Ovis aries: one gene and its partner. The protein of the gene in region 1 purifies or fractionates together with the protein of each later gene. This does not show direct contact. Links are inferred from orthologs where the notes say so. Each region holds a gene or a part of one and is shown in the gene's direction. Other genes may lie near its edges. The genes, in order: GP6 and LYN.

Region 1 (15,643 bases):
GGTTCCCAGGAGACAAAAGCCACTTTTGTTCCCAGGATCTGTAAGATGGCAGGTTGCAGGGATCCAGAAGAAGGGACAGGACTGCAGTTTGGAAAGTAGGGAAGGCAGCTACAGGGATTGTCATTCATTAGCTCCAGAATGTGCTAGGTGTGCCTTTCAAACGCTGTTTAAGACTCACCGCAGTCCAGTGGTGGAAGCGTCCGTATTTTTAGTTTCCAGGTGAGGAAACGGGTTTGCTCAGGAACCACACATAACAGTGCACAGATCGCTCTCTCTTTTTTTTTTTTTCTGATTTCTCAGGGGCCTCTGTGACCCCCACTTGGCTGCCCACGGAGCCACCTTCCACTGCGACAGGTAGGTTTCAGAGCATTCACCCTGTGTCTGTGGTATACAGGCACAGGAACCCCGTTATCCTTTTCCTCTTAGTCTAGATTTCTCGATTTGCTTGAATACTGGAGTGGGTTGCCATTTCCCCCTCCAGGGGATCTTCTTGCATAATTACAGCACAACAGAAAAACCAGAAATCTGACATTGGCACAATATATACGTATAGTTCTATGTCGATTCATCACAAAGATTCACATAACTACCACTGCATTCAAAATACTGTTCCAAGGGAAGAAAACAAAAAGCGCTATTCCATCCTCACAAAGATATTCTGAAGGTCCCACCTTTATAGACACCTCTCCCCTCCCATGATCCCTACTGCTGCTGCTGCTGCTAAGTCGCTTCAGTTGTGTCCGACTCTGTGCGACCCCATAGGTGGCAGCCCACCAGGCTTCCCCATCCCTGGGATTCTCCAGGCAAGAACACTGGAGTGGGTTGCCATTTCCTTCTCCATGCATGAAAGTAAAAAGTGAAAGTGAAGTCGCTCAGTCGTGTCCAACCCTCAGTGACCCCATGGACTGCAGCCTACCAGGCTCCTCTGTCCATGGATTTTCCAGGCAAGAGTACTGGAGTGGGGTGCCATCGCCTGATCCCTAACCCCTGGCTAATTTGTTCTTCCTAGATTTAATTTTATCATTTTGATAATGTTACATATAAATGGAATCATACAACATGGGACTTTTTAAGATTGTCTCCACCCCCTCCCCCCTTATCATAATACTCAACGGACATGAGTTTGAGCAAGCTCCAGGAGTTGGTGATGGACGGGGAAGTCTGGCGTGCTGTAGTCTATGGCGTTGCAGAGAGTCGGCCATAACTGAGTGACTGAACTGAACTGATCATAATACCCCTGAGATTTTTCCAAGTTGTTGCGTGAATCAATAGTGCTACCTTTTTTCAAAGAAAATTAAAAGAAATTATTTGTCCTTGGCTGTGCTGGGTCTTTACTGCTGAATGGGCTTTTTTTCTGGATGTGGAGAGCGCTGGCTACCCTCTAGTTGCGACACACGGGCTTCTTATTGTGGTGGCTTCTCTTGTTTCGGAGCATGGGCTGTAGAGCACGTGGGCTTCAGTAGTTGCAGCTCCTAGGCTCTAGAGCACAGGCTCAATAGTTGTAGCACAGGGGCTTAACTGCTCCACAGTATGTGGGATCTTTCTGGACCTGGGATCAAACCCAGGTCTCCTGCATTGCAGGCAGTTTCTTTACCGCAGAGCCAACAGGGAAGCCCTCACCCTCAGTATGTACAGTCAAGAAAATTTAAAAAAGTGTATTCACACAGAAGCTTGTATGTGAATGTTCATATAGTAGCAGAATTCACAACAGCCCCAACGTGGAAGTAACCCAATGTCCGTCAGTGGATGAATGGAGCTGTTTCTCAGGAAGCCACTCAGAAGTAGAAGACGGGTTTATCTTGGGCTTTCCGAGTTTGTCTTTCCTCCGTGTCTGTGCAGTGTGTGGTAGATGAATGAGTTCCAGGAAGATCGGATAGCTCAGAAGGGGCGAGGGGAGTAGGGACTCACGGAACAGACCCGGCATTACCCACTTTCTTATAATCGTCTTGCTTAGAATTCACAGAAGCCTCCAGGAAACTGAACCACTCGATTGCAAAGGAAGCCTCCACAACTGGTGAGTAACCAGGCACTCAGAGCTCGCTCTTCCGTCATCTGAGGCTGTCAGCTTTCAGGCTGCTTCTCAAAACCACCTGACTCTTCCCAGGAGAGTCCTCGACTTGAGGGCGAGGGTCGGGTGGAGCTGGGCTCTGAGCTCGGGGGAAGAGGAGCATTCTGGGAAACGTGGCTGCTTCCAAGGTGGCGGCACCGAGGCTGCCGTGGGGACACCATTACGCATCCCTACACTGGGCTCTTCTTCTTTTCTAAATGTACTTTTAATTGAGGGACAACTGCTTTACAACGACGTGTTGGTTTCTGCTGTACAACAACGTGAATCAGCTACACACGTCCCCTCCCTCTTGAGCCTCCCTCCCGTCCCCAGCACTGTGGTGGTCTTCTTTTTCTTTTGGACTTTCTCTCACTAAGTGTGTTGCCACAAGAACGCTTCTACGTGGGTAGTAAGTTCTGAATTTTTGTTTCTTTAATTTGTGGGCTGTGCTGCATGGGATCAAACAGGGATCAGACTCACGCCCTCTGCACTGAAAGTGCAGGGTCTGAACCACTGGACCCTCAGGGAAATCCCGTTGGTGTGTGCTCTTCCAGCTTGGCTCTGATCGATGTAGCTGTGTTGCCATTGCTTCCAGGCACGGTCCTGGGCTTCAGCCCCGCATAGATTGTAGTTCTCTGGACACAGTACATCCTCCAGTCCAGGGCAGTTAGGTGTCCCTCCCACTGTTGTGCTCTTTGCCCTTGGCTTCTCTAGGGAGGGTTTCCTTTTCCTTCAAGACAGAAAACCCTGGCAGATTCCCTGAGGATTCCTTAGCTATCTTCATGGGGTCCACACACTTTAGGTTCCTGATTCCAGCAGGTTCTTTCCAAGACTCTGAGGAGATTCTTCTCCATCCTATGTTCAAAACCCTTCTTGGTCCCCAGTCACTCTCAGGAGGAGTAGGAAAACTGACCCCATAGCTGTTAAGTCATTTGCCAGATGGTAAAGAATCTACTTGTAATGCAGGACACCTGGGTTTGATTCCTGGGTTGGGACGATCCCCTGGAGAAGGCAATGGCAACCCACTTCAGTATTCTTGCCTGGAGAATTCCATGGACAGAGGAGCCTGATGAGCTACAGTCCATGGGGTTGCAAAGAGTCAGACATGGCTGAGTGACTAACATTGTCATTCTATCCACATCTAATAAGTGATGAGTCTGAGGTTCCAATCCGAACACTCTGACTCTGCAGTTCATGTTGTCGACTCACTCAGTCATGTCTGACTCTTTGCAACCCCGTGGACTGTAGCTTACCAGGCTCCACTGTCCATGGGATTTCGCAGCCAAGAATACTGGTATGGGTTGGCATTTTCCCCTCCAGGGGATCTTTCCAATCCAGGAATTGAACTCGTGTCTCCTGCGTTGGCAGGCTTTTTTTTTTTTTTTTTTTTACCACCTAGCCATCAGAGAAGCCCTTTGTGGTTCACACTGTTCTTAAAAACCTGGAATTCTGCCCCTCAGTGCAGCTGTTCAGGATTGGGTAGAAACAGGATTAGAAGAGATGGTTCCACCTCTTTACACTTATTGTTTTTGATTCCCAGAGGCTTCTAGGAATATCACTGTCCTTCCAAAGAAGTCAGACCCTCCAACTGGTGAGTAAGTGTCCTTCTCTGGACCAGCTTCCTGCCCCCTCTAGCCCATGTCTTTACCCCAAACTGGCTGCTTTCCCTGCAGAGAAGCTGCAGCTCTCTGGTCTTGGGTTCTGGTGTGTCAGCTAAGAAGGGGAGGAGTAGTGTTAGCATATGGAGCTCAGAATTGGGCAAAGACCAGTGTGAAGGTGGAGATTATCTAAAAGGTCAGAAGAAGGGAAATTTCATCTCTGCACCACCCCTTATGATAGTCTCCTCTTCCACAATCAGCCAAACAACCAGGTAGTGTCTGTGTGTGGGGAGAAGTTGTATCAGAGGCCTGTGAGGGGGTGAGTGGAAGACATGCTACTCAAAGAATGGGGCTTATCTAGTCCTGATGCTTGGTGAAGATGAGAGGAATCCTTGAGGAAGGAGGTTGGCATCCTAGCTTGTTATTCTTCAGTTGTGTCTGACTCTTTGCAGCCCCATGGACTGCAGCATGCCAGGCTTCACTGTCCTTCACCATCTCCTGGAGTTTTCTCAGACTCATGTCCATGGAGTTGGTGATGCCATCCAACTATCTCATCCTCTGTTGTCCCCTTCTCCTCCTGCCCTCAATCTTTCCCAGCATCAAGGTCTTTTCTAATGAGTCAGTTCTTTGCATCAGGTGGCCAAAGTATTGGAGTTTCAGTTGCAGCATCAGTCCTCCCAGTGAATATTCATGGTTGATATCCTTTAGGGTTGACTGATTTGATCTCCTTGCAGTGCAAGGACTCTCAAGAGTCTTTTCCAACACCACAGTTCAAAAGCATCAGTCCTTCAGCACTCAGCTTTCTTTATGGTCCAACTCTCACATCCATACATGACTACTGGAAAAACCATAGATTTGACTAGACAGACCTTTGTTTGCAAAGTAATGTCTCTGTTTGTTAATATGCTGTCTAGGTTTGTCATAGCTTTTCTAGCTAGCAGAGAGTAATAGGGTTTCAGATGAAGGATTTGGCCGTGACAAACCCAGTATGTGGCTTGGAGTGGGTTCTGGAGAGGAGCTTTGTTTGTTTGCTTGTTCACTATTTATTTATGATTTTTATTTTTGACTGGGCTGCTTCTTAGTTGCAGCTTGAGGCATCTTTGATATGGCACGTGGTTTTCTCTCTGGTTGTGGTGCTTGGGCTCAGTAGTCAAGCCTCACAGGCTTGTGGCATGTGGGACCTTAGTCTCCTGACCAGGGATCCAGCCTGTGTCCCCCTGCATTGGAAGGCAGATTTTAAACCACTGGACCACCAGGGGAGCCCCAAGACTATTATCATTATTTTTTTGGAGATGGACCACTTTTAAAGTCTTCATTGTATTGCTTCTGTTTTATGTTTTGGTTTTTTGGCTTTGAGGGATCTTAGCTCCCCAACCAGGGATTGAACCTGCATCCCTGGCATTGGAAGGTCAAGTCTTAACCCCTGGACCACCAGGGAAGTCCCCTTGGAGCTGGGCTTTTATCATCTGCTCCTGTCTCTTCTTGTTCCTCTAGGTCTTGCCCTCCAGCACTACACCAAGGGCAATCTGGCCCGGATATGCCTTGCGGCTGTGATTCTGATTCTCCTGGCGGGGCTTCTGGCAGAAGACTGGCACAGCCGAAGGAAACCTCCGACGATGCACCGGATCAGAGCTGCACACAGGCCACTCCCACCCCTCCCGCAGACCCAGAAACCAAAGGGTCGTCAGGATAGGGGTCGACCAGACGGTCACAACCGAGGCTTCCGTCACTAGAATCTCAGGCTTGGTTGCGTCTTGGTCGCGCGAGTGGGGAGGGGACCTAGCGTGAGTGGACTATGAGAGCCACAGTCTACTCACTGTTGTCTTGCTCACTGCCATTTTTTTTTTTTTTTTTTGGGGCGGACTGCGAGGCATGCGGGGATTTTAGTTTTGTAACCAGGGATTGAACCCACGCCCCCTGCATTGGAAAGAAGAGTCTTAAGCACTAGACCACCAGGGAAGTCCCTCCAGATGGACTAATTTTTTTCGTTCTATTTATTTTTAATTGGAGGACAATTGCTTTACAGTGTTGTGTTGGTCTGTGCCATGCAGCAACTGGAATCAGCCATAGGCATACACATGGCCCCTCCCTCTCGAACCTCCCTCCCACCTCCCCCCCCTCTAGTTCTCACAGAGCACCAGTTCGAGCTCCATGTCATACAGCAAATTCCCACTGGCTATCTGTTTTACCCGTGGTAGGGTATGTGTTTCAGGGCTGCTCTCTCAGTTCGTCCCACCCTCTTTTCCCCACTGAGGATTGACTTCTGACATCACCCCCTCTCACAGCTGACCCAATCCATCCTCTGCCCAAAACTCTCCCATGTGTCCCCGTTGCCCACCTGCCTTGTGTGTTTTTCTTTTTAAAATTCTATTGATGTAAGTTAATTTACAATGTTGTGTTAGTTTCTGGTATGCAGGAAAGTGAATCAGTTCCTGAGGTTTTTTTTTTCTTTTTTCTGATTATCCCCAAATGTAACCCTCATGCCAACACTGTCTTAAGCTACAGTCTGAAAAAACATCTTTTTGTTTCTTGGGTTGTACCTGACTCTTTCAGGCTTTTGGGTCTTCTATTCTTTCCCCTTTGAATATAATAATAATTATAAGCAGCATGTTAATGACTTGCCTTTATATTAGAAAAAAAGTCCAAAGTCCTAAGCTTATCCTAAAGGTTTGGATAGGTCAATCCATAGAGACAGAAGGTGGACTAGTGGTTGACAGGGGTTGAGGCAAGGAAGAAATAGGGAGTAATTACTTGTTGATAAGTCGCTAAGTCGTGTCTGACTCTTTTTGACCCCATGGACTGCAGTACACCAGGCTTCCCTGTCCTTCACTGTCTCCCGGAGTTTGCTCAGATTCATGTCCATTGAGTTGCTGATGCCACCCAACCATCTCATCCTCTGGCACCCCCCTTCTCCTTGTGCCGTTGATCTTTCCTAGCATGAGGGTAATTACTTAATCAGTGATTTTTTTTCCTTTTCTTATTTTGCAATGATGAAAACCTTTTGCAGCTAGGTAGAGGTGGTGGTTTCATAACAAAGCGTACTAAATGGCACTGAGTTGTTCACCTTAAAGTGGTAACTTTTATTTTACATGAATTTCACCTTAATAAAAAGGAAAAAAAAAAAAACCAAACCAACCCAACTTTACTACCTGACATCCATCCCTGTCTGTGTGGGGTCACTTGTCCTAGGGAGGTAAGTGACATAAGTCAGAAATACTTCCCTTTTCCTGTTGCCAGACTGCGGCACCTAGCTGGGTGCCCTCCTGCTAAACAGAAGCCTCTCTGTTGCTGACACAGTCTTCAGATGAAGTCCAGTCTGGTTCTCCCATGAGTATGACTCTGGTACACATCTGGGGTTCCAGTTCCTACCAGAGTGAATCTCAGACCCTGACTTTGTTAGGGAACTTCCCCCAGGAGCTGTGATGAAGATTGGCAAGATCTGGCCCCTCCCCCAACACTGCCAGCCCCCAGGTTGCCTGCCTTCCTGGCGACTCTGAGCTCAGAGCCCGCCCCCAGTGTGCCCTCTGTGCCACTTGGGCTAGAGGAACTATCTAGAAGGAAGTAAGGTTTGGAAGAAAATAGTGCTTAATAAGAAAGTAATTCTTATAGAAAATAACATTAAAAGGAATATATAGATGTATATATCACTGAGTCACTTTGCTGACCAGCAGAAATTAACACACCAATGTAAATCAACTATAATTCAATTAAAAGAAAAAGGTTCTAATAAAAAAGTAATTCTTGTACTGTTGCTTTAAGGAGTTTGGGGTTTCTGTATGTCACAAGGGAATTCTGGGGGCTGTAAGAAGAGCTATGCATACCATGAAGTTCTGTTTTCTGTGGAATCATTAAATCATTAACATGGAATCATTAAAAGTTAATCAGAGCAATGATGGCATCATGCATGTACTTCATGTATGTGTGTGTTAGTCGCTCAGTCGTGTCTGACTCTTTGTGACCCCATGGACTGTAGCCCACCAGGCTCTGCTGTCCATGCAAGAAAACTAGAGTGGGTTGCCATTTCCTCCTCCAGGGGATCTTCCTGACCCAGGGATTAAACTCTGGTTTCCTGCCTTGCAGGCAGATCCTTTACCTTCTGAGCCACCAGGGAAGGCCATTGAAGCACCTAAGAGGCCTGCAAAATATTCCGGGTTAGTAGGAGAAATACTCCAATGAGGAAGACTTGTCAGGTATCTAGCCACACAGATAAGAAATACCAGATCTGGGCAATGACTTCGCAGACAAATCAATGTGATCACCAACATTTCTTTCCCATTCCCTCACCCCTGGGCTAAGTTCTCCCTGAATAAAGTAGCTTTTCTCTAAGTTCAATTGAAATCCATTCATAAATAAGACTTCACTCATGAATGCTTTCACCTTTATTTTTCTTGATATCCTCAAGACACAGACATTCCATCCACCCCAGGGTTAAGTGATGAGTGTATGTTTTATGTAAACCAGAGGCTCAACCACGGCTAAACTAACATCTGGCTAAGCAACTAACAACATTGAGAAGGATCTTGGGGAGTTCACCATCACCTTGATGATCTAGGAATTTACTGGGGAATGAATGGCTCCAGGGGGATTCAGAAAATGAAGTCATGAGAAGAAGGTCTGTTATCTTTTGGGTCTCGATGATCACTCTCAATAGTCAGCTGTGGGTTGCTTTCCTTCATTTCTCTCAGCAGCTTCTGGATTCGAGCATCAGATTCATCTATCTTCAACCTAGGAGGTAGAATGTGGGAGAGAGAACATTTTCTTATTGCTTTGAGGAACTTCACTCCAAATGCCCAGGTGCCTGGCAAAGCTCATGATTTAGGGATTTACAGAGCAAGGGCCATCTCCATTGGTTATTCTATGCTGCAAAGTAGAGTTCCAGATCAATTTGGTCAGGAAAAAAGATGCCACTGGGTTAGCATTGGTGGTGGTGGTGGTGTAGTCACTAAGTCATGTCTGACTGTACAGTCATGGACTGTAGCCCACCAGTCTCCTCTGTCCATGGGATTTCCCAGGTGAGAATACTGGAGTGGGTTACCATTTCCTTCTCCAGGGCATCTTCCTGAGCCAGGATCAAACCCAGGTCTCCTGCATTGGCAGGCAGATTCTTTACCCCTGAGCCACCAGGGAAGCCCTGGGTTAACACTGTGATGGTATAAAGACACTGCATAGCTTTGGGTGCTTGAATGATCTTGGGTGATTATCATATCATGCTTGGCACTAGAGATGGAGTTGATGAATACCTCTGTGATGTCCGTCTAAAACCTACCTATTCCATAACATTGATAACTTCTATCTAGTGAATCCAGGATCAGGCAGACACACTTGAATTAAGTCAGTGGGATTAGCTTTTTATGCTCCTTGGCTACGAGCTTCTAGATAACTGCCACCCCGTATGTGACCTGTGATAAGACCAGTCTCATTTCTTCGATTTGCCTTTTAGTAACCATATTCAGTCATGTGTATGTGGAAATGGGGACCAGGGAAGCAGAGGGAATAATTAAATTAAAATTATAATTTAATTATAAAACCAGGAGACCAAGGATATTGGCTGCCGTGTTTCTGATTGGCATTATAGTCCCGATTTTGCTGGCATATTAATCAAAATCTGTTTTGTTGTTTGAGTTTCACAATATATCCATGCAACAAGCCTTCAGTTATAAGATGAAAAAGTTTTGGGGGTCTTATGTACAGCTTGGTGACTATAGTTAATAATACTGTATTGTATATCTGATATCTGCTAAGAGAGTAGATCTTATGTGTTCACACCACACACACAAATGTAACTATGTGAGGCAATGGGGTGTTAATTACACTGATTGTGATGCTCATTCCACAATATATACATACATCAAAATATCACATTGCATACCTTAAATATATATAATTTTGTTAATTATATCTCAGTAAAGCTGACAGACCACCCCTGTCCCCAAACTTCATGTACCCCATCAACCTTAAGCTAGCTTGAGCAGAAGCCTTGTCAGCAATCAATATAACTTTTGCTAAAATATAGGCAAACTAGCTTCAAAATATTTAAAACATGACCCTTCAAGGTCAGATGTAGTTGTGTCTATTCATGATTGTCAGAGGTTGGTCATAGTCTTTGGTAGAAAAACAAAAAAATAGTCCCACAGATGATCTGTGTGTGGTTGAAAGTGTTAAAGGAATCAGAAATGGGATATGAAGAACAGATCAGAAGATACAAATATGTTACTCTAAGAACAAGGATGGTGCTGGAGAAGACGCTTGAGAGTCCCTTGGACAGCAAGGAGATCAAATAGTCAATACTGAAAAAATCAACACTGAGCATTCATTGTAAAGACTGATGCTGAAGCCAAAGCTGCAATACTTTGGCCACCTGATACGAAGAGTCAACTCACTGGAAAAGACCCTGATGGTGGGAAAGACCGAAGGCAAAAGGAGAAGGGGGTAGCAGAGGATGAGGTGGTTAGATAGCATCACTAACTCCATGGACATGAATTTGAGCAAACTCTGGAGATCACGGAGGACAGACGAGCCTGGGGTGCTGCAGTCCGTGGGGTTGCAGAGTCGGACCTGACTTAGTGGATGAACAACAACAAAAGCCGTTAATTGTCTAGGTTGCATTTGAGGATTTAAAAAAGTTCCCACACTCTTGGGAAGAGTTTTATGGTTCTTTGTTGCCACAGCAGCAAATCAGCAATAGAGCAAGAACAATAGAACAGTGAGCAAGTAGAAGACAAGCAGTTGCTGATAGCTTCTATGATCACAGATTACTTCGATTAGACAGCAAACTCACTCCAAAGAACATGCTTCTAAGTCTGGCATTGACCCACTGGACCTCTGTAACTAATACAGTCCACAAACAAACTTTCCGAGAACACCATATAAGAGCTGTGATTCCATTTCCCTAATGAGACAATCGCTGGCCGCCACAACTCCCCCTCAGGTAGACAAACCCTAAGTCCAGCCTCTTGGTTTCCAGGTTGAGTTTTTGTCTCCTTCGACTCATCTTCTCTGTCAAAACAACGGAAGGAACCTATGGGAAAATTATCTCATAACCAGACATCAATAAATGAAAGTTGAATGTGAGCATTAGATGCCTACAACAAATTCCTATAGTTTGTGTTCCCCCATAACCTAGGATCGTGGAGCAAACACTCAGGGGAGTAGGAGGATCATACCTGAGTGTCTGGAGGGGACAACTTTGAAGTTTCAAGGCATCACACAGCATGTTTACTCCACTGGACCCCAAGGAATTTTGGCCCAGGTCCAGCGTGATCAGGTTCTGATTGCTTCTAAGGGCAGATGAGAGTTCTGCACAACAGAAGGGAGTGATGGCACATCCCCACAACCTGTAGGTGAAACACACACATTCACTGATTTACTCAACCAATGCTTGTTGATATCACCCCATGTGCCAGGCACACACTTGGGTGGTAGTGGTCTTTGTGGTCAGGGTTGATTTGGGGTCTTCCGTGGTTCACTATGAATTTGGGGATTAAATTTTGCGTGTGGGTATGAAAAATGCCATCCTGGTCGAATTTTTAATTTGTATTTATTCTTTAAAGACTTGCCTACTTTTGGATGCACTGGGTTTTCGCTGATATGTGCGGGCCTTCTCCAGTTGCGGCGTGTGGGGGCTACTCTCTAGTTATGACGTTCAGGCTTCTCACTGCAGTGGTTTCCCTTGTTGGGAAGCATGGGCTCAGGGTGTGCAAACGTCAGCACTTGCAGCTCACAGGCTCCAGAGCACAGGCTTTAGAGTCGTCCTGTGCCATGTGGGATCTTTCCAGATCAGGGATCGAACCCGTGTCCCCTGTATTGGCAGGTGGATTCTTTACCACTCAGCCACCAGGAAAGCCCCATCCTGGTGGAATTTTTAAAATACTCAATGAAAATTGCGGGGGAGGTCTGCTATATTGATAGTACCTTTTAGATACACACTAAAGTTCACAAAACGGTAACTCACCATAGACATCTTAGTTTACACAGTGGTTTCTTCAAAGCCTCACACAGAAACTTCAGTCCAATAATTCCTATGTGATTCAGCCCCAGATCCAAGTGTGTGAGGCTTGAATTTTGCTGGAGGAGTGTCGAGAGATGAATGCAGCCATCGCTGGTTATGTTGCAACACCATAGCCTAGAAATCAGATCACATGAAGAAAAAAAATTTCTTTTTCCTCACCAGTGAGACACACCAAAACCATGACCATCTATCTCAAGCCATGGCTTTTTAGATGAGTTTGAAGACGCTGGAGACTGTAACTAGAAACTGCGCTACTTGAATGCAGTATGCATGTATACATACGACACACGCACACACAGACACACACAGCCAGCACAGACTTACACCAGGGTTTGCAGTTGACATTCAGGGTAAGTCAGGCCCTCACACAGCAGTTTCACCCCACGATCTCCAAGAGCATTCTTGGCCAAACACAGGTGGGTCAGCCTCTGGTTGATAATCAAAGCAGAAGACAGATCTTTGCAATAGGCTTCTGTAAGGTGACAGTTCTCCAACCTGCAAAAGCACCACACAGATAGCCAGATGGTGAAAGCATTTCCAGGACCCAACTTTCTTGACTGTCTTCAATGACTAGAGTCCTCGGTCACACCCCTTTTTGTTAATTCTCTGCCCTCTGTCAGTGGTGTGCTAGTGATCGTGGTCATAAAGGGACAGGAATGAGAGAAGGGTGAGTCAGATGAGCCATTTGTCTGGGGCCAAAAGTGGGAGCCAGGCGTCTATATCAGTGGGGTGCTCCAGCCTGCTCACCCAGCAATTCCAGGTGCCACCTCTTCTCTTCTCTGTGTGACCCTACATCTACCACAAAGACGCTCGATGGAAAGAGAGGAGAGACTTACGACAACCTCTGTAGGAAGCACGTCGGATATCTCAGGGTCATGTATAGCAACTTGGCTCCCTCATCCAGGAGCTCATTTGCTGTGAGGTTCAAGCATGTGAGGGACTGGTTGGTTCTGAGGCAGCAGGAGAGATCAGCCCACTGCTGAGCGGAGGCAGAACAAGACACCAACCTGCAGGAGAAATGGCAACAAGGCATTCATGAGGACCAGACACTGGGCACACAACTGTCTACAGTTTTGTCTCACTCTGTTATGTTAGCGCTTCCCAGGCGGCTCTAGTGGTAAAGAACCCACCTGCCAGTGCAGGAGACTAAGAGATGTGGGTTCAATGCCTGGGTTAGGGAGATCCCCTGGAGGTGGGCATGGCAACCCACTCCAGTATTCTCACCTGGAGAATCCCATGGACAGAAGAGCCTGGTGGGATACAGTCCATGGGGTCATAAAGAGTTGGACCCAGCTGAAATGACTTAGTATGCCATTATGTTAACCCTGGACTAAATTATCTGGAGCAGAGGTTGTCCAAGTGTGATTCCTGGACCAGTTGCATCAGCACCATCTGGTAACTGTGTAGAAATGCAAATCATCTAGAGACTCTAGATGTAGAGGCCAGCGATCTATGTTTTAAGGTATCCTGCAGTCACTTGGAAGATGTCTTTCAACAAATTCCTGGACCATATACCCAGAATTTGATTCTGAAGAATCTGGGTGAGACCCAAGAATTTGGACCTTTTTATCAAGTTCCCCAGTGATGGTGCTGCTACTGGTGGTCTGGAGATGACACACCAAGAACTACTTATTTAGAAATCCAGCCACCTGAGCATATTGTGCAACTATATTCTATCTGCAGATGCGTATTCTATTCCTGGAGGTACACATTCTTCATCATGAGCAAATAAAACTTTATTGGAACATAATATATAGTATCATGATAAAGAAAATGCATTTCTAGGAGTAGAATACAGGTAACATGTTTTTCTTTCTTTGGGGGCGGGGTGGGCCACGCTGCCTGGCATGTGGGATCTTTGTTCCCTGACTAGGGATCGAACCCACACCCCATGCAAGGGAAGCATGGAGTCTTAACCACTGGACCTCCAGGGGAGTCCCCTCCAGCTCATTTTCTATTCTGGGGCATGTGCCTTAAGGGGTGGTGGTTGTTGCTTAGTCGTTAAGTCGTTCTGACTCTGCTACTGTTAAGTCACTTCAATAGTGTCTGACTCTGTGTGACCCCATAGATGGCAGCCCACCAGGCTCCCCCGTCCCTGGGATTCTCCAGGCAAGAACACTGGAGTGGGTTGCCATTTCCTTCTCCAATGCATGAAAGTGAAAAGTGAAAGTGAAGTCGCTCAGTCGTGTCTGACTCTTAGCAACCCCATGGACTGCAGCCTACCAGGCTCCTCCATCCATGGGATTTTCCAGGCAAGAGTACTGGCGTGGGGTATCCAGTCAGAATAAGGGATTCCTGCCCCCTCTGATTTGCACAGCATTGCTATGTAGGTTTGTGCTAGCTCTGTTCACAGGCTGAGGGTTTTCAGCAGTGGTGAGGCTGATATACCTGAGATATTTCAGATTACATCTGGGGTTCCTCAAGACCTCACACAATGGGGGAAGCATGTCATTCTGGTCATTTCCTTGAAGGGTCAGATGTGTTAAAGTCTTGTGACCACCAAAAGCCATGCAGAAGTTCCGATAAGTGTCAGCTGGGGAAATATTTTTGAGGCTGGGAAAAGAAACAGATGTTAGCTGGAGTTTGTATACCTATACTGCATACACATAGAATAAAGAGCTGCCATGGGCTTAAATGTTAGAATTGACTTTTTTCATTTTTTTCCTTTATTGACATACTGTTGACAGATAAAACTGTGTATATTTAAAGCACATGACTCCATGTTTTGATATACAAGTACCTTGTGAAGTCACCCCTACTATCAAGCCACCACTGCACACAGATCCCCTTCCTTCTTTTCTTCTGTGGTGAGGACAACGTATGATGAACTGTCTTGGCAAATTTCAAGTATTTAGAGCAGTAATGTTAGCAGTCATCACATTGCTGTTCATCAGGTCACCAGAACTTACCATCTTGCATACCTGAAACTTTGTGCTGTTTAATGAACAGCTCATTACAATTAGAAGCTCAAGTTTCATTTTTTTTTAAAGCAGGAAATAACTTTAATTATCCAGTTCTTCTCATAGAAGAAAAAGATCTGAGCTGTTAGTAGCTGTCATGTCATGGATGGATAGATGGATAGACAGATAGATGATAGACAGATCTTATGAAAGTAGAAGCTCCAATTTCTTTAGTTGTTTCAAACTTTTGCCAAAGGGAAGTCAGTCATAAGCAGTCATTTTAGACAAAAGCTGTTCTCCTATGGCTTCTTGAGAAAGATAAGGCAGCATCTCTTTTCCTTGAAGTGTTACCAATGGATGCATTTCAACAATGCTATGTTCTTGATGACAAAATTATAATGGAGGAATCACAGTTCAGGTATTCAAAATTGGAGTCAGGTGGCTACTGAGAATCTGGTCTCAAACACCTCTCTGCATCACTGAGAACTTGCACTTTCTTAAAAAGCCCAAGGACACCACCCTCCAACCCCACTCTTATAGTCCCTCCAATCTCCCCTTGTAACTATGTAACCATTTCAAACCCCAAGCAATCCTTGCTCAAGGAGCACTCTTATTTCTTGCCAGCTCCAATTATAATTCTTGATAAACAACTCAGGTAACTGACTGTAACACTGCATTTTCTGCTTTATAAACCTCCTCAATTTTGTAGTCAGGGGGAACACAGTTCAAGCATTTCCTGAATCTGTGTCTCTTGGGCTGTGGTCCTAAATGATCCCAAATCAGCACGTTTTAATCTCAATCAAGTCTCCATTTCTGAAATGTTGGTTAACAGCCTGCTGAATACTTTGACTCCAAGGAATGCTCTTGGGCTTAGAATCAGGACTGCAGAGCCAATGAAACCCAAAGTGGGAAGAGCTCTTATTTCTCTGTGTTGAGAAAAAAATACCCAAAGAGGACTAGCTACACAAACGAACCTCAGATCCAGGAAAATTCTAACTAAATTGCTGTCTTAGGGGGACAAAAATGTAAGAAGCTTGGAGATGCCCTGGAAGTTTTAATCCAGGGACTAGCTGCTACTTACACCACTTTC
Region 2 (15,168 bases), on another chromosome or scaffold:
CGACCCCTCACACATCCTCCCACTTTTTATTTTCATTCTGTTTTCCTTCCCATGGCCACGGCCTTCAGACGATTGCCATCACCCCTTCAGAGGACCAAACCACCAATTCCCCAATCTGTGCCATATCACTAACACCTACAAAGTGACTTTCTAATCACATCTGCCTTCACACACAAATGTGTGTGCACACGCACACACTACAGGGGTAGCTAATATTTTCCTGGGAATTTTTTGGCATAAAGTCGTTTATGTCCTTCTGTGTTCTCCCTTTTCCGACTTTTTATTTTGAAAATGTCAAATCTACAGAAAAAAAAAAATCCTCACCTAGAGTCACTAATTTTTTTTAAAGCTATTTTGCCACATTTGTCCCCTCCTCTTGCTCCCTTGTCCCCCTTTTTTCTTTTTCGTTTTGGTGAAAATGTTGACAGCTGGCAGATACCCCGAGCCCACATCCCTACCCGCCTCATGAGCATCCTCTCAGATGTGGACCTTCCCCTGCATGACCACAGTACCACATCACATCAATGAAATGTGTAATCCCCTGGGATCGAGTTCACATGTATTCAGATATCTCCAATGATCCCCACCACGTGTCCTCCCCCACTCACCTGTTCATTCAAACCTCATTCACCTTTTGACACATCATGGACCTGTCTGATTATTCTGACCCTTTATCCTCTGTTTCCTATGAACTAGTACTTAGTTCTACAGGTCTCTATGCCTCTATCTCCAATACAACAGCAACGGCTGGGGCAGGGATGTCCCCTTTCCCTTTCCTTGCCTGTCTTGAGCGGGAGGGGCTGGGATGAGCACGCTGGAAGCCCAGAGTGCAGCACCCTGAGCACTTGGTGCATCCCTTCTTTCCATGAACCCTTGAGCACCTGCTCGGAGTGGCATTACAGAGGAGAAACAGGCTGGGAGCCCAGCCTGTCTGCTTCAGAAGATCTGAGGAGGCAACATTTGGGTCCAGATCTGGAAAAAAGACAGAACTGGAGTGTGTTAGAGTCTGGGAGGGTCTAGGGAGACAAGTGGGCCTCCGGGAAACATCCTGGGGAGAGGTGCACAGACGAGGGATGTGTGTGTCCTGGGGACCCGCTGGGCTGCTCCTTTCACAGTTCAGGGAGCCACTGGTGTCCACTAGGGTTGGCCTTTTCCAATACCAACTTCCCTCCTTCATGCAGCCCCATTTTGATGCGAATAAGTTAAAAACACATTTTTTTTTGAAGGGTAGGAGTAGGGGTGGAGGTGGGATGGGTCAAAAAAGAGCTCCCCTGTTTATTTACAGATCAACTAGAAAACCCATCCCATTTCAGAAACTTTAGCACATGAAAGAAAAAAAATACTGTGCTGTTTTGAGTCAAAGAAGTACTTGCTTCCCCTTTATTTTGGGAACTACAGCTCGCTAGTTTCAGCAAGAGGCGTGACCGTCTTCAGAGGCTTCCTATGTCAGCCAATGAGAAGATAAACAAGGCGGTGGTCGCTGATGCCTGTGGGACCAGAGGCAGGCCGAGCCGGGGCAATGGGGATGAGCTTCTGAGGCTTTTTTGACCCATTCCTCCTCTAGGAGGAGTTCCTAACTCCCATCACCTGCCTTCCCCACGTGAAACCGTCCTTGTTCTGTGATGTTCTGGGCAGGGGTCCCCTTTGGCAGTGCCTGAGAATGACAGTCACATTGGAGTGCCCACCCCACTGTGCCCCTGGAGAACTTCCTGGACTGTGTCCAGGGAATCTGCTCTGTGAACCTAGGCGATTCTTGTGTGCCTTTAGGTTCGGGAACACCACCCTCCCGAACCTTGTAGTGGAGTGCATACAGATTTTGTTTTGTATTTAATGTATAAATTTGACCATGAGGCTGTGCTGTGAGGAATAGTCATATCCAATTTCAGTTTTAAAGTCGCCTTTAGATCTAAGTTCCCAGTTTGCTTTGGGTGGCACTCTGCACATCCTAGTATAACTGAATAGACAGAAAAGAGTTTAGCCTTTAGAAGGGTGGTTCCGTCTGTCTCACTGGTTGTGCTCAAGCCCCCTTCTGTCGAGGTGTCTCTCCTGAAGCCTTAAGCTGGCTGGCGGCACCCTCTGTGCCTCTGGCTCTGACATCTCTCCTGTTTTCCACACTCACACGTCTCACTGGGACGTCTACAGATGTGATCGTGTGGGTGTTCCTACAAGCATCTATTCTCCGTACCTGTGTCTCCTCTTTGATTTCCAGTCTCCGTGAAGGCCACCACCATTGTCCCAGGCCCCAAACCACATAAGGTTGGAGCCACCCTTTATGCTTCCTGGCTCTTCCTCATGTTTGCCTTTGAAGCCCCAGGTCCCCTCACTTCACCTTGCACAGTGACACTTGTCTTCAGCCATGCCTCCCCCTCCAGCCCAACTCTTGGACTTCCCTACTTGTTCCCTGAAGGGTTTGACTTGAACTAGTTCCCTGAAGGGGCCGTGTTCCCGGGGCCCATACTTTGCATGTGAAGTTGTCTCTTCCTGGAATCCCTTTACTGACTCTGCCACGTAGCTGACATCACTCCCATTCTGACTCGAAGCGTTTCCATCAGGACACTTCCCCTGCCCACATCCTTTTCCTCTTGCCTGAGGTCAGTGTCCTTTCCTGTGTCCTGTGCATCCTCTGTCGTTGACCTGCCACGTCACATTGTTGTTTTAATTCACACATCTTCACCACAAGAACAGGAGCGTCTGTAGGGCAGGAATTCATGCTGACGTAAAATCGATGCTCAATAAATGGTTGTTGAATGAATGAGTGAACAGATTATGAACAAGCACCTGGCTTGTGAACGGTCTTCACCTCTTTGACTTGGTTAAATCATCAGCGATGAAGACTAGAAGTGTGCTTGCTGTTGTTGAGTCGCTGTTACCTTCTCTCTATTAATGGAGAAGCTTCGGTGGCTGGAAGCCAGTTCTGGAATGGTAAAACGATGCCGTTGCTTTTGTATTCCAACAGGAACTATGGGATGTATAAAGTCAAAAAGGAAAGACAATCTGAATGACGATGGAGTAGATTTGAAGACGCAACCAGTACGTAATACTGACCGAACTATTTATGTGAGAGATCCAACGTCCAATAAACACCAAAGGCCAGTAAGTAGATAGTCTCAGGGGAGCGTTCCCACGGCAGGATCAAAACATGGCTGCGTAATTTAAACTCCAAATCTGTACCATGTGCATGCCAAAAAAAAAAAAAAAATCATGTTAATTACTTGGGCCTCAAATAATTTTTGATATACTTTGTAACTTAATCCTTTAAAGAGTTTATAAATATATTCGAGACAACCAGGTCACTTAATGTACAATAAAGGGGCCTTTGGTCACCTTCTTATGTGTGGCGATTATCACCTTTCCTGTCACTGGTACAAATACCCTCTCTTTATATGTAAAGACACGTATACGAGCTTGTGTGACTTAGGATGGGCAATAAGATTAGTGGTCTGGAAGCAGAAGGAAATGCTGAATTCTAGTCGGAAGCCAAAATAGGTGCTAATATGCCCTTTGGTAGATGTTGGTGTCGTTTAGTCACCCAGTCACGTCCAGCTCTTCTAGACCCCATGGACCATAGCCCACCAGGCTCCTCTGTCCATGAGATTTCCCAGGCAAAAATACCGGAGTGGGTTGCCATTTCCTTCTTCAGAGGATCTTCCTGACCCAGGGATCAAACCTGTGTCTCCCACGTTGGCAGGCATATTTTTTACCGCTAAGCCACCAGGGTAGCCATCATACTTTATCCCATCATGTTGTTCTTCAATTAATTCAAACTAGTATGAACACTGAAGTTGTCATGACTTATTATAGAGAATTAAAAGATTTAAGCCTTCTAACGTAGGACAAATATCTGTACCAGCATTTTTACATGATGGATGTGCTCTCTGATGTGTTTGAGAAATGCTTGGCAAAGAACTAATACCACATTTCATGGAAGAAAGGAACAGAGCTTTGGATAATTACAACCTTAAATGCACTTTACTTCAGATCTTAGGTCCTTTCTGTTTGCTCACTGTATATATGTACATCCCCCATTGCCTGGTTTTTATGGAAACCAGTGTTTCAGCGTTTAAGCTGAAAGCAGCTTATTCCACATGAGTCCAAATGCCTTCATTAAGAGTTTTCATTGTTTCTCTAATCTGACATGTTTTTAAATGCCTTGGCATTCTCGAAGTATACCATTGTTGTCACTCCCTGTACCAGCCCCCTCCCCCACGTTCGCCCTTATCCTGCAGGTATGGTGTGTGTCAAGGTCACATGTCATTGTTGAGATTGGTAAGTCGGTGTTGGCATTCTTGCAAAAAAGTAGAGATGAAAAGTGAGGACATTATGCTGTTAATTCCCTACATATTTCTAGACAGATAAATTAACATTAATTTAGGAACTTCCCTGGCAGTCCAGTTTTTAAGACTCTGTGCTTCCAATGCAGGGGGCAAGGGTTTGATCCCTGGCTGGGGAACTAAGATCCCATAGGCTGTGGTGCACAACCAAAAAAGAAATTTAAGAAAAACATTGTGGACTTCCCTGGTGGTCACTGGTTAAGAGTCCTCCTGCCAATGCAGGGAACATGGATTTGATACCCTGTCCAGAAGGACCCCCATGCCAAAGGGCAGTTAAGCCTGTGGGCCTAGAACCCGTGCTCAAGAGAAGCCGCTGCACTGAGAAGCCTGTATACTGCAGCTAGAGAGTAACCCCGTAACTAGAGAAAGCCCATGCACAGCAATGAAGACCCAGCACAGCCAAAAATAAAGAAAAAGATTTTTTAAATGTTGTAATTTTATAACAGAAACTCAAAATGTACAAGATTATTAATAAGTTTTATAATTTAGTTATAAATACCTATAAACATAATATTCAAAAAGACATCACATAAATAGGTATAGATGTGGAGCTATGCTATGGAAATATGACTAACAGAAAATGAAATGATACAAGGACTTGGAGTCACAGATAATTTTCTCGTTATAGACTTCAAAGGTGTCATAAAAAGGACCTGACTTTTTCTAGTGTCATGTGCTGTAGATTTTACATGGTTTACAATCCCCCATTTTTTGTTAATGTAATGAAAGAAGATGTCCTTCATTCAGAAAAGCAAAGGAGACCAGTACAAACTTACACACCATTTTTCCTCTTGCCAAGAGTAAAGGAGGTTAAAAGATAAGTTCGAAAGCAGAAGTAGGAAGCATGTTTGAAATCTCTCAGTTCCCTCATGCACCCCCGGAGCGCAGCACACTCCACCTTCTCTGGTCACAGGTGCCCTGGTTTGTAACTGGGCAGTTGGGCCTTATTCCATGGATAACATTCAGTTCCAGCCAGATGTGCCCGAAACACACCCCTGGATTGATTACAGGCTGTATTGTGTGACAGCAAGGCTGAACTGACACAAATTCAATAACACTCTAAGGAAAAGACATTTTAGAGAAGGAAAGTGGTGACAGATGAGGTCTATACATGTGTTTTGGCCTTCTGAAGAATGTGTTCAATCATTTGTCAATTAAGGACTCTTTGACATTTGAAAATCAGCTTGCTGCTCTCAAAATGATTTAATCAGTCTCTCATCTTCTAATTGTTTCCTCTAACTCCTTTAAAATTGATCATACATTCTAATTATGCAAATCTGAATGAGTTTAAAAATCAGTATAGAACTCCTTGAAATAAGTATTGAAAGATCATCCGGAGCCAAGAGTTTCTGAACCAGAAAAACGTAATCCCCTGCTCCCCGCCCCTGGAGATTTGATGGGCTGACTTCCATCAGAAATTTAAATTTCAGTACAAGCTGTTTTGGTTCATATTCCATTCAATCACGTTAATCAAAAAGAAACACGATAAAACCCGGGAAGTCTCGCACATCCTCCCCATGTCAACGAATGAAAAAGGAATTTGATTTCCAAGGTGATTGGGGTGGCCTTTTGTACCATCAGGCCCTTCCTGATCATTCAGCTCCAAGCTAAAATAACAGGGATGCCATCTGTCCCCATAGCAGAATCGGGGTCAGCCACAGGAAGCCTGGATCTGTTAGGACTTGTTCTCAGCTGCCAGTGACCAAGCCCTTACAGCAGCTTTTAAAACAAGTCTGGGAAAAGTGAAGATCAGCAGTCCTGGCCTGGGTGGCACTTCCACAGGGTCACCAAGGACCCAGGTGGCCCCTAGGACCGCTCTCCATCTTCTGCTCTGCTGTCTCTGGTCACTGGTATCCATGGCTGCTGAAAGCCCAGCTCATCACTTGCTTCTGGGCAGAAAGAAGCAGCCCAGGGAATAAGAAAGCCGATCCCAAAGCCCCATCACCTGCCTGCAGGTCAACTCCTTGCCATCTGCATAGAAGGCTGGAGAATTGGGAAGCATCACCATGGAGCTGGGCAAACCGCCACTCCTAAGGTTACTTGGGCTCTGGTACTGAATCAAGGGGAGGGAGCCTATTGGCTCAGCAGCGGCTCAGAATGTCCTGTCACCCCCAGGCCAGTGGCTGCTGAAGAAGGAAAAGCCCTTCAATGGTTGGGGCGGGGGGCAAGGATCGGAATAGAGCTCCGCAGGACTGTTCCTCTGCACTCCTCTTCTTTCTGGCTTAATAAATTAACAAATCTAAACCCTATTTGCTTCTGTTCAAAAATGACATAACATACAGTATGAATGTGAGCATAAAATGCTAAACATAGAAAATATTTTTCTGATGAATATTCTCTCTTAGGTTCCAGACTCTCAGCTTTTACCAGGACAGAGGTTTCAGACTAAAGGTATGTTTTCATAACGCCATGGCAGTTTCTTTTCTTTACTGTTCAAGTCTCTGTAAAGTAGTTGTCCTGGGTGTTTTTGTTGATTTTGTGGGGGCAGGCGGCAGGGTGAGGTAGAAAATGATACTTTTATTGCTTTGCCAGGCAAAGGGAGACACACTAGGCTTCTGCCTTGAAAAACTATGTGTCTCCGAATTTTTTTTTAATTGTGGAAAAATAGACATAACATAGAATTTATCATTTTAGCCATGAAAGTGTTCAGGTCAGTAACATTAACTACTTTCTCATTTTTGTGCAGCCATCTCCTCCATCCATCCATCTCTCCATCTGGGATGATGAACTTTCCATCATCTCAAACAGAAACTCTGTGCCCATCAAACGCAAACTCCCATCCCCCATCCTCCCGGCCCCTGGTACCCCTATTCTACTTTCTGTCTCTATGAGTTTGACGGCTCTGGGGATCTCGCCTAAGTGGAATCAAATGGTATTTGTCCTTTGCGGCTGACTTCTGTCACTTAGCATAATGTCTTTAAGGTTCATCCATGTGGTAGCAGGTGTCTGAATTTTGATTCCTTTATTCTGTGGTATGTATACACAGTGTCTTCGGATGGTTTTCCCCTTCTAACGTTTGTAAACAATGCTGCTATGAGCACAGGTGTATCACATTTTAAACCTAGAGCTGGAAGTCATTGAGGTCCTAGGTCTCTATGATTTGAGATGACAGACATTGTACCAGTGTGCACAGTGTGTGGCCAACCATGGACCATGTGGACCCCGAGCCATCTGGGAGGAAAACAGGTCCTCTTTCCAGCTGCCTGTTTCCTCAGTATATCCCTGCACTCTGTGCCCCATGACAAGGTGTTACAACATTTCTGCTGTGGATTCTTTTTTTAAAAAAAACTTTATATTTTGTATTGGGGTATAGCCGATTAACCACATTGCGAACAGGGAAGGTGAACAGTGAAGGGACTCAGCCATAGGTATACATGTATCCATCCTCCCCCAAACTCTCCTCCCCTCCAGGCTGCCACATGACATTGAGCAGAGTTCCCTGTGCCATACAATCAGTCCTTGTTGGTTATCCATTTTAAACATTCTGCTGTGGATTCTTAAAGGTCTTTGCTCGCCTTGTTCATTTTCAGATCCAGAGGAGCAAGGGGACATCGTGATTGCATTGTATCCGTACGATGGCATCCACCCAGACGACTTGTCCTTCAAGAAAGGGGAAAAGATGAAAGTCCTGGAGCAGTAAGTGCAACTGGATGTCCCTCTTCTATGGCACCAAGTCCCGAAGCCTATCCCCCTCCTCGGGCTTGGCCGCCAGTGGCACGGCAGACACCCCTCTGGGGGTGGGCATGGAACTCCAGCCTTGTTGCTGCCAAAAGGAGCAGGGCCAGAGGGATTTTCCTCCTCGGCTTTACTGTGAGCAGTTCCCAAGAGTTTTTCGTTTGAAACCAAACACCATTGTCTTTCCTTATCCATCTGTGCTGCCTTAAGAGGCTTAGATCTATGTAGAATTTGCATTTCTTTTTTTTAATGTTTTTAAAATTTATTCTTGACTGTGCTGGGTCTCTGTTGCTGCTCTCTGGCTTTCTCTAGTTGCTGTGAGCAGGGGCGACTCTCTAGTTGCAATGTACAGGCTTCTCACTGCAGCGACTTCTCTTGTTGCAGAGCATGGGCTCTAGAGTGTAACAGGCTTCAGTAGTCGCAGGGTACGGGCTCTCTAGTTGTGGTGGGTGGGCTTCATTGCCTCGAGGCACATGGATCTAAGTTCTTAGATCAGGGATCCGCACCGTGTCCCCTGCATTGGTGGGTGGATTCCTAACCGTTGAACCACCAGGGGAGTCCCTGCATGTTCTTTTAATGTCGTTTTTACTTTGTTATTTTCCTCAAATTCACACTGAGTGTATGGGTCCAACTGGGTGTGAGTCATCAGGGTGGGGCACCGAGGCAGCGGTCATCTCCGGGAAAGCCCCTGCTCAGCACTTAGTGCTTCTGTGAAGATGTTTGGACATCGTTTTCTTGACCCCTCCAGGTTGACTCACAGGGCTCAGGACTGAGCTGAGAATAAGGAACTTCAGTAATTCTACTACTCCTCATATAGCATCACCTTGGCCTGCCAACAGGAGACCCTTGGTTGGCTGGAGGAGAGAGGCCCTTATTAAGTATAAGGTGTTGAGTAGCTGAGAGGGGTTGTCCATTACTGGCTGAATGTGAACTTGAGCCTCATTCTGTCCTTGCCACTTGATCGCTGTGTGACCGTGACAAGTCATTTTAACTCTGTATCTTAGTGTCTCGCTTGGAAACCAGAAATGGCTTATGTGTGTGTGTGCCTTTTATAAATATGGCACAGGCGTGTAGTGTACCACAGCCGAGTGCCAGTTGAAATTGTCCTTCATGTCTTGCCAGATGAGGGTCCCATCTGGGTGTGGGAACCTGATGGGAACACAGCTGAGGCTCATCCGTTGGCGACCATCCGTTCCTCCTTCCCCAGCTCCTTCCCTGGCTCCATGCCTCTCGCAGGAGATGTGAGGTGGTAATGAGGCTCATCTGCTTGGGACTGATCTATGGTTTTCTTTTTTGTCCCATGGCATCAGCCTATGGACACTAGCTATTTCAACAAAGGCGTTTATAACTTAAGAACTATGACCTTTTATTCCCTTGACTCCCATTTCTGTAAGTGTGAAAAGTGAAAGTGTTAGTCATTCAGTGGTATCCAATTCTTTGTGACCCCATGGACTCCTCTCTCCTGGGAATTCTCCAGGCAAGAATACTGGAGTGGTTTGCCATGCCCTCCTCCAGGGGATCTTCCCAGCCCACATATCAAACCCAGGTCTGCTGCATTACAGGCAGATTCTTTACCCTCTGAGCCACCAGGGAAGCCCATTTTGTAGATATCCCCGGGGAAGTTAAGAACTCTGTTTCTGCAAGATGGAAACCATTTTCACCAACTCTTATGCAGCAGCTCTGAGCACAGAGACCCACACCTCAGTCCTGAGGCTGTTTTCCTTTGCATCCTTCACTAAACATATTTGTATTTCATCAGGACACATTAACTTTCCCCCTGCATTCTGGGGTCCCAGGGTCTTCCCTACTGTCCCACACCCCTCAAGACAAACACCTTAAGACAATTGCTCTTGTAGTTCTTGAGTCATTGAATACAAACCCTTTTTTTCTTTTTATAATGCGTGTTTATTTGGCCACGTCGAGTCTTAGCTGTGGCGTGTGGCCCGTTTCTTGGAGGCACAAGCACTTGCTAGGCTGCCCCATGGCGTGCAGGATCTTAGTTGCCTGGCGGGGGATTGAATTCATATCCCTTGCATTACAAGGTAGTTCTTAGTCACTTTACCATCAGGGAAGTCCGACAAACCCTTTCTGATGCAGGTTTCTATTCCAGGCACGGAGAGTGGTGGAAAGCCAAGTCCATTTCGACAAAGAAAGAAGGTTTCATTCCCAGCAACTATGTGGCCAAAGTCAACACCTTGGAAACGGAAGAGTGAGTCCCCTCGTGGAGTGGTCTGGAGTGGTTCTGTGTGACATGCTGGATCTCTTGCGTTTTCTTCATCTTTTTTCTCCCCGGGATTACAACAGCCATGGGATGTTAATATGTCTTCACAGGTGGTTTTTCAAGGATATAACCAGGAAAGATGCAGAAAGGCAGCTTCTGGCCCCAGGGAACAGCGCTGGAGCTTTCCTGATCAGAGAAAGCGAGACATTAAAAGGTAGGAAGTGACATAAGGCCTCTTATCAAATGCTGTTTAGGAAATCATTCTTAGAAATGATTCTAGAATTCTGTTGAAAAAGAATTGTGGGCAGATCTTGTTTTATTGAAGTATAGTTGATTTACAGTGTTGGGTTAATTTCTGCTGTATAGCCAAGTGATTCTGTTATACATATATGCCGTCTTTTTCATACTCTGTTCTGTTCTGGTATATCACAGTAGGACTGTGTTGTTTATCTGTCCTATGTGTCATAGTTTGCATCTGTTAATCCCAAACTCCCAAAACTTCCCTCCCCATAATGCCAATCTTGTTTACAAAATATAAGTGTAATCTTTGCTTGTAATTCTTTCTCTGCAGGAAGTTATTCTCTGTCTGTCAGAGACTGTGACCCTGTGCACGGTGATGTGATTAAGCACTACAAAATCAGAAGTCTGGACAATGGGGGTTATTACATCTCCCCACGAATCACTTTTCCTTGTATCAGTGACATGATTAAGCATTATCAAAGTAAGTGAAAACACAAGGTCAGACAAGAAAAGAAAGATACATCTGTTATGATACATATATTATGTCAAACTTATATAAAAAATTTTTGTATCCTGAAACTTTACAGAATTCATTGACGAACTCTAGTAGTTTTCCTGGTAGCCTCTTTAGAAAGAAGAATCATATTTCTTTTGGATAAAGTTGCAGGATCATATTCTGTAACTGGTCCTAAAGTAACCTATAACTATACATTCAACAGTGGTACTAGTGGTAAAGAATCCACCTGCCAATGCAGGAGACACAAGAGACACCCATTCAGTCCCTGGGTTGGGAAGATCCCCTGGAGGAGGAAATGGCAACCCACTCCAGTATTCTTGCCTTGAAAAGCTCATGGCCTGAGGAGCCTGGTGGGCTATACAGTCCATGGGGCCACAAAGAGTCGGACACGACTGAGCAGCTAAGCACACACAAGCATTCAAAGTCAGATTTGATCTTTGTGTATAATTATCCTAGTCCTTCCCACCTAGCCTGTGCTGTTTAACAGTTAATGTTCAAAAATTACAAAGATAGAAATGACTATTATTTTCATATAGTGCATGATTTTACAACACATCTTTTTAATATCCAGGCTAGGAATGCAGATCTGTAGATCTGTGTTCTAGTGTAGACATATGTATGTGTGTGTATAAAAGTAATACGTACCCTTGGTAAAAGAAAACAGAAATTACAACAATAACACCAAAACAATTAGAAGTGGCCAGTCAGTGGTCCTTCGTCCCCAGTTTGCCCTACAGCCTTGCTAGGCTGATCCCCTGAATAGCCTTTAGGTATATTCCCTTTGTGTTTGAGATCAGTTGTAGTGGGAAGCTGTTACTGCTTATTTCTTCAAGCTGCTCTAAGGTAATACACATAAACTTTGCTTATGTCCCCAAGTATGGAGAGAGCAAGTACTCTAGAGTAGTAAGTCCTTCCCTCTCTCTACCCCCATCAAGTTATTCGTCTGGCACATGTGTTGATTACTTGTGGAGCCCTGGCTCTGTTCTGAGGCTGGGGGGGGGGGGGTGTCCCCTGGTGACCTGACCAAGTTCCCACCATTGTGCCCTGAAGAGTTTACACAGACTCAGTAATTAAAACTATAGTCTATTAAGTGTGACAACCTGCCAGCCTATGTTTGTCTATTTATTTTATTGTTTTTATTTTCATAGATTAGTATTACTGATGAATCAAATCAAGTGCATCTTACATTGTCTTTCATTTAAGAATTTCAAGTCATGGTTTCACAGAAGATACACCCATAAACATTTTAAGTTTGTAGACCTTGGCGAGTTGGAAATGATAAAACTCATAGTTCAGATTTCTCTGTAGATACTGGTAAAATACAAAGGATGACTTTTCCACATTTACTTTCTCTTTGAAATTAGAGCAGTCAGATGGCTTGTGCCGGAGATTGGAGAAGGCGTGCATTAGCCCCAAACCACAGAAGCCATGGGACAAGGATGCCTGGGAGATCCCCCGAGAGTCCATCAAGCTGGTGAAGAGGCTAGGCGCCGGGCAGTTCGGGGAAGTCTGGATGGGTGAGTGTGTGGCTTTGGAGCCTGAGTCCCTTCTGGAGAAGTAAGGGCTCCAGCTGATTTCTATCAGTTTTCTCAGAACCATTGATGCTTTCATTTCCCTCTGTCCACCGGGTGCCAAGAACAAGCCCACACAGTCCTCATGATTAGACTCTTCATCTTCTCTGAGACTTAGGCTTTCTCTTGTTGGATGAGTGTTTACAAGGAAGGGGCAGTGGGCGCTTATCCTGGCTTATCTGTCTACTCTTTCTGACTCTCTCATCAGCAGATTCTTTGGACATACGGTTAAGTGCAGGCATCTCGGGGAAAGGAACAGTTGGGCGCCTGTGCTCAGTCACTCAGTCAAGGCTGACTCTTTGCGACCCTATGGACCGTAGGCCACCAGGCTCCTCTGTCCATGGGATTCTTCAGGCAAGAACACTGGAGTGGGTTGCCATGCCCCCCTCCAGAGGATCTTCCCAACCCAGGGCTCGAACCTGCATCTCTTGCATCTCCTCTAATGGCAGACAGGTTCTTTACCACTAGCACCACCTGGAAAGTCCATAATTAATTCTTACTGTGCTGTAATTCTCTGGGAACATGATAATGGAATCAGGCTAAATCATGAGTACACAGCCTCACCTTGCTCACTGGGATCTGTGTGAGTACGTGGCACTCTTTCCAATCAGGTCCACAGACCGGGGGCGTGATCTTGCTCTAGGTGTGCCTCTGTCCCCCCTCTGCTGCCTAAATCATCACCTCCTCCTCCTTGCTCTGTTCACCTTTCCTTTCTTATTGAAGTAAAATTCATGTAACATAAGGTCAGTCAGTTTACAGTGAACAACTCACATTCATATTGTACAGTCACCACTTCTATTTAGTTCCAGAATATTTCCATCAGTCCAGAAGGAAGCCCTGTACCCATAATGCAGACACTTACCCCCACGCCCTCTTCCCCAGCCCCTGGACACCACTCTACTTCCTGTCTCTATGACTGTGATACTCTAGGGCTCTCGCATCAGTGGGATCCTACACACATTTGTCCTTTTGTGTCTGGCTTATCTCCCTCAGCATGATGTCCTCAAGGTTCACCCGCATTTGTCAGAATTTCTTTCTTCTATGAGCGAACACTATTCCATGTATGGGTATGCCACAGCTTATCTACTTATCTGTTGCTGGACCTTTGGCTTGTTTCCATCTTTGGGCTATTATGAATAATACTTCTTTGAACATTCATGTGCAAATTATTGTGTGGACAGGTGTTTTCATTTTCTTAGGGATATACATTCTCCTAGCAGTGAAATTGCTGAGTCACATCATTCTGTGCTTAACTTTTTAAGGAACTGTCTTAACTGGGATCTACTCATTTTTTAAAAAATTGTCACCTCTTTCTCCCCTGAGATATTTGCATTTATTTTTTAATATAGTTTTTCCAAGTCCACAGAGTAGGAGCAGGTATAATATACATTGTATCTTCTTCACCTAGATTCACCAGTTAATATTTTGCTATATTTCCTGTATCATTTCTATACATACACACACAGACATGTTTTATTTTTGCGGAGCCACTTGAGAGTAAGGTGCAGATGCGACGCCCTTCAACCCTGAACGCTCACGCAGGCGTCTCCTCAGAGGACTGTGGTACCAGGCCGCACGGTGGTCACATTCAGGAAGTTCTGCACTGATCTGCAGAGTCTAATGTAGAGTCGACATCCTAATTCCCCTCATTGTCCCAGTGATGTCCCCGGGGCTGTTGGAATCTAGAGTTTGCTTTTAACTGATCTGTCTGTAGTCTCCTTGAATCTGGAAGAGTCCCTTGGCCTGTCTCCATCTTTCATGGCAGGTTTTTCCTTTTGTAGAACGTCTCTCATTTGAATTTCCCAGTGTTTACCATGACTTTGTCCAGATTATGCCCTGGGTCACGAATAGCATCTAAGTACTAAGCGATGCTGTGTCTTCCTGCATCCCTCAGAGGCACAGAATGATGGTTGGTTCCATTATTGCCTACAGGCCAAGGAGGGAGGGCAGAGTCCCTAGTTCCCAGACTGAGCGGAGGTTGGAATAACCATGTTTGGGGTTGGGTGGGGGCGCTGGGGAGGGTGGAGGCGGGTCAGAGGACAGACGCTGCTGCTTTTAGAGAGGTGATGGCTTCTAAAAGGGATGAGAATCAGATGAGCACGTGATGCTGAAACCATCTGAGGATAGCACTTTTGGATATTTAAACAATTTTAAAGAATCTCCCCTAAGGTAATGAATACATCAGTTACAACAGGGAATTAAAATGTTACATTTAAAATAGAGAAATCTGGTAGACCTCCTTAAAATCAAACAGAACAACAGCATCTTACTCTCAAGTGGCTCAGCAACAATAAAATAGGGATGGTGTAAAAACAAGATGAGGTGATGCAAGTAATCATTTAATATAGTTGACAGCATTTAAGAACTGTTGTTATTATTTTAAATAATTATATTATGAAGATAGTCTGATAAATTAGAGCAAAGACTATGACATAGAGGGGAGAAATTGCCCAGAATGTCCCCCCTCAACATGAGCTGTTTCTTGGGTAGTTTCAATTAAACTTTTTATTTTGAGATAACTATCGATTCACACGCAGTTGTCTGCAATAATACAGAAATGAAAATATCTGTTCACACAAACATTTTTATACAACTGTTCATAAGTAAGAGCAT

What was found.
Region 2: the proteins of GP6 (region 1) and LYN purify together in Homo sapiens (affinity purification with western blotting; 5 studies listed by BioGRID and IntAct, with this or other methods). This does not show direct contact. The link is inferred for Ovis aries from reciprocal best matches to the Homo sapiens genes GP6 and LYN.

The regions. Positions count from the first base shown.
Region 1 is NC_056067.1:63,163,460-63,179,102, forward strand, and holds the end of GP6 (platelet glycoprotein VI), read left to right. Parts: intron 1-300; coding exon 301-354; intron 355-1,954; coding exon 1,955-2,014; intron 2,015-3,587; coding exon 3,588-3,638; coding exon of another isoform or gene 3,639-3,642; intron 3,643-5,139; coding exon 5,140-5,378; 3' UTR 5,379-7,535; downstream 7,536-15,643. Other genes in the region: NLRP2 (NACHT, LRR and PYD domains-containing protein 2), read right to left, coding at 8,232-8,370, 10,809-10,979, 11,597-11,767, 11,978-12,148, 12,490-12,660, 14,042-14,206, 15,635-15,643.
Region 2 is NC_056062.1:36,184,326-36,199,493, forward strand, and holds the start of LYN (tyrosine-protein kinase Lyn), read left to right. Parts: upstream 1-2,961; coding exon 2,962-3,030; coding exon of another isoform or gene 3,031-3,093; intron 3,094-6,676; coding exon 6,677-6,722; intron 6,723-7,861; coding exon 7,862-7,967; intron 7,968-10,116; coding exon 10,117-10,215; intron 10,216-10,337; coding exon 10,338-10,441; intron 10,442-10,798; coding exon 10,799-10,948; intron 10,949-12,348; coding exon 12,349-12,501; intron 12,502-15,168. UniProt on the Homo sapiens protein: Non-receptor tyrosine-protein kinase that transmits signals from cell surface receptors and plays an important role in the regulation of innate and adaptive immune responses, hematopoiesis, responses to growth factors and cytokines, integrin signaling, but also responses to DNA damage and genotoxic agents.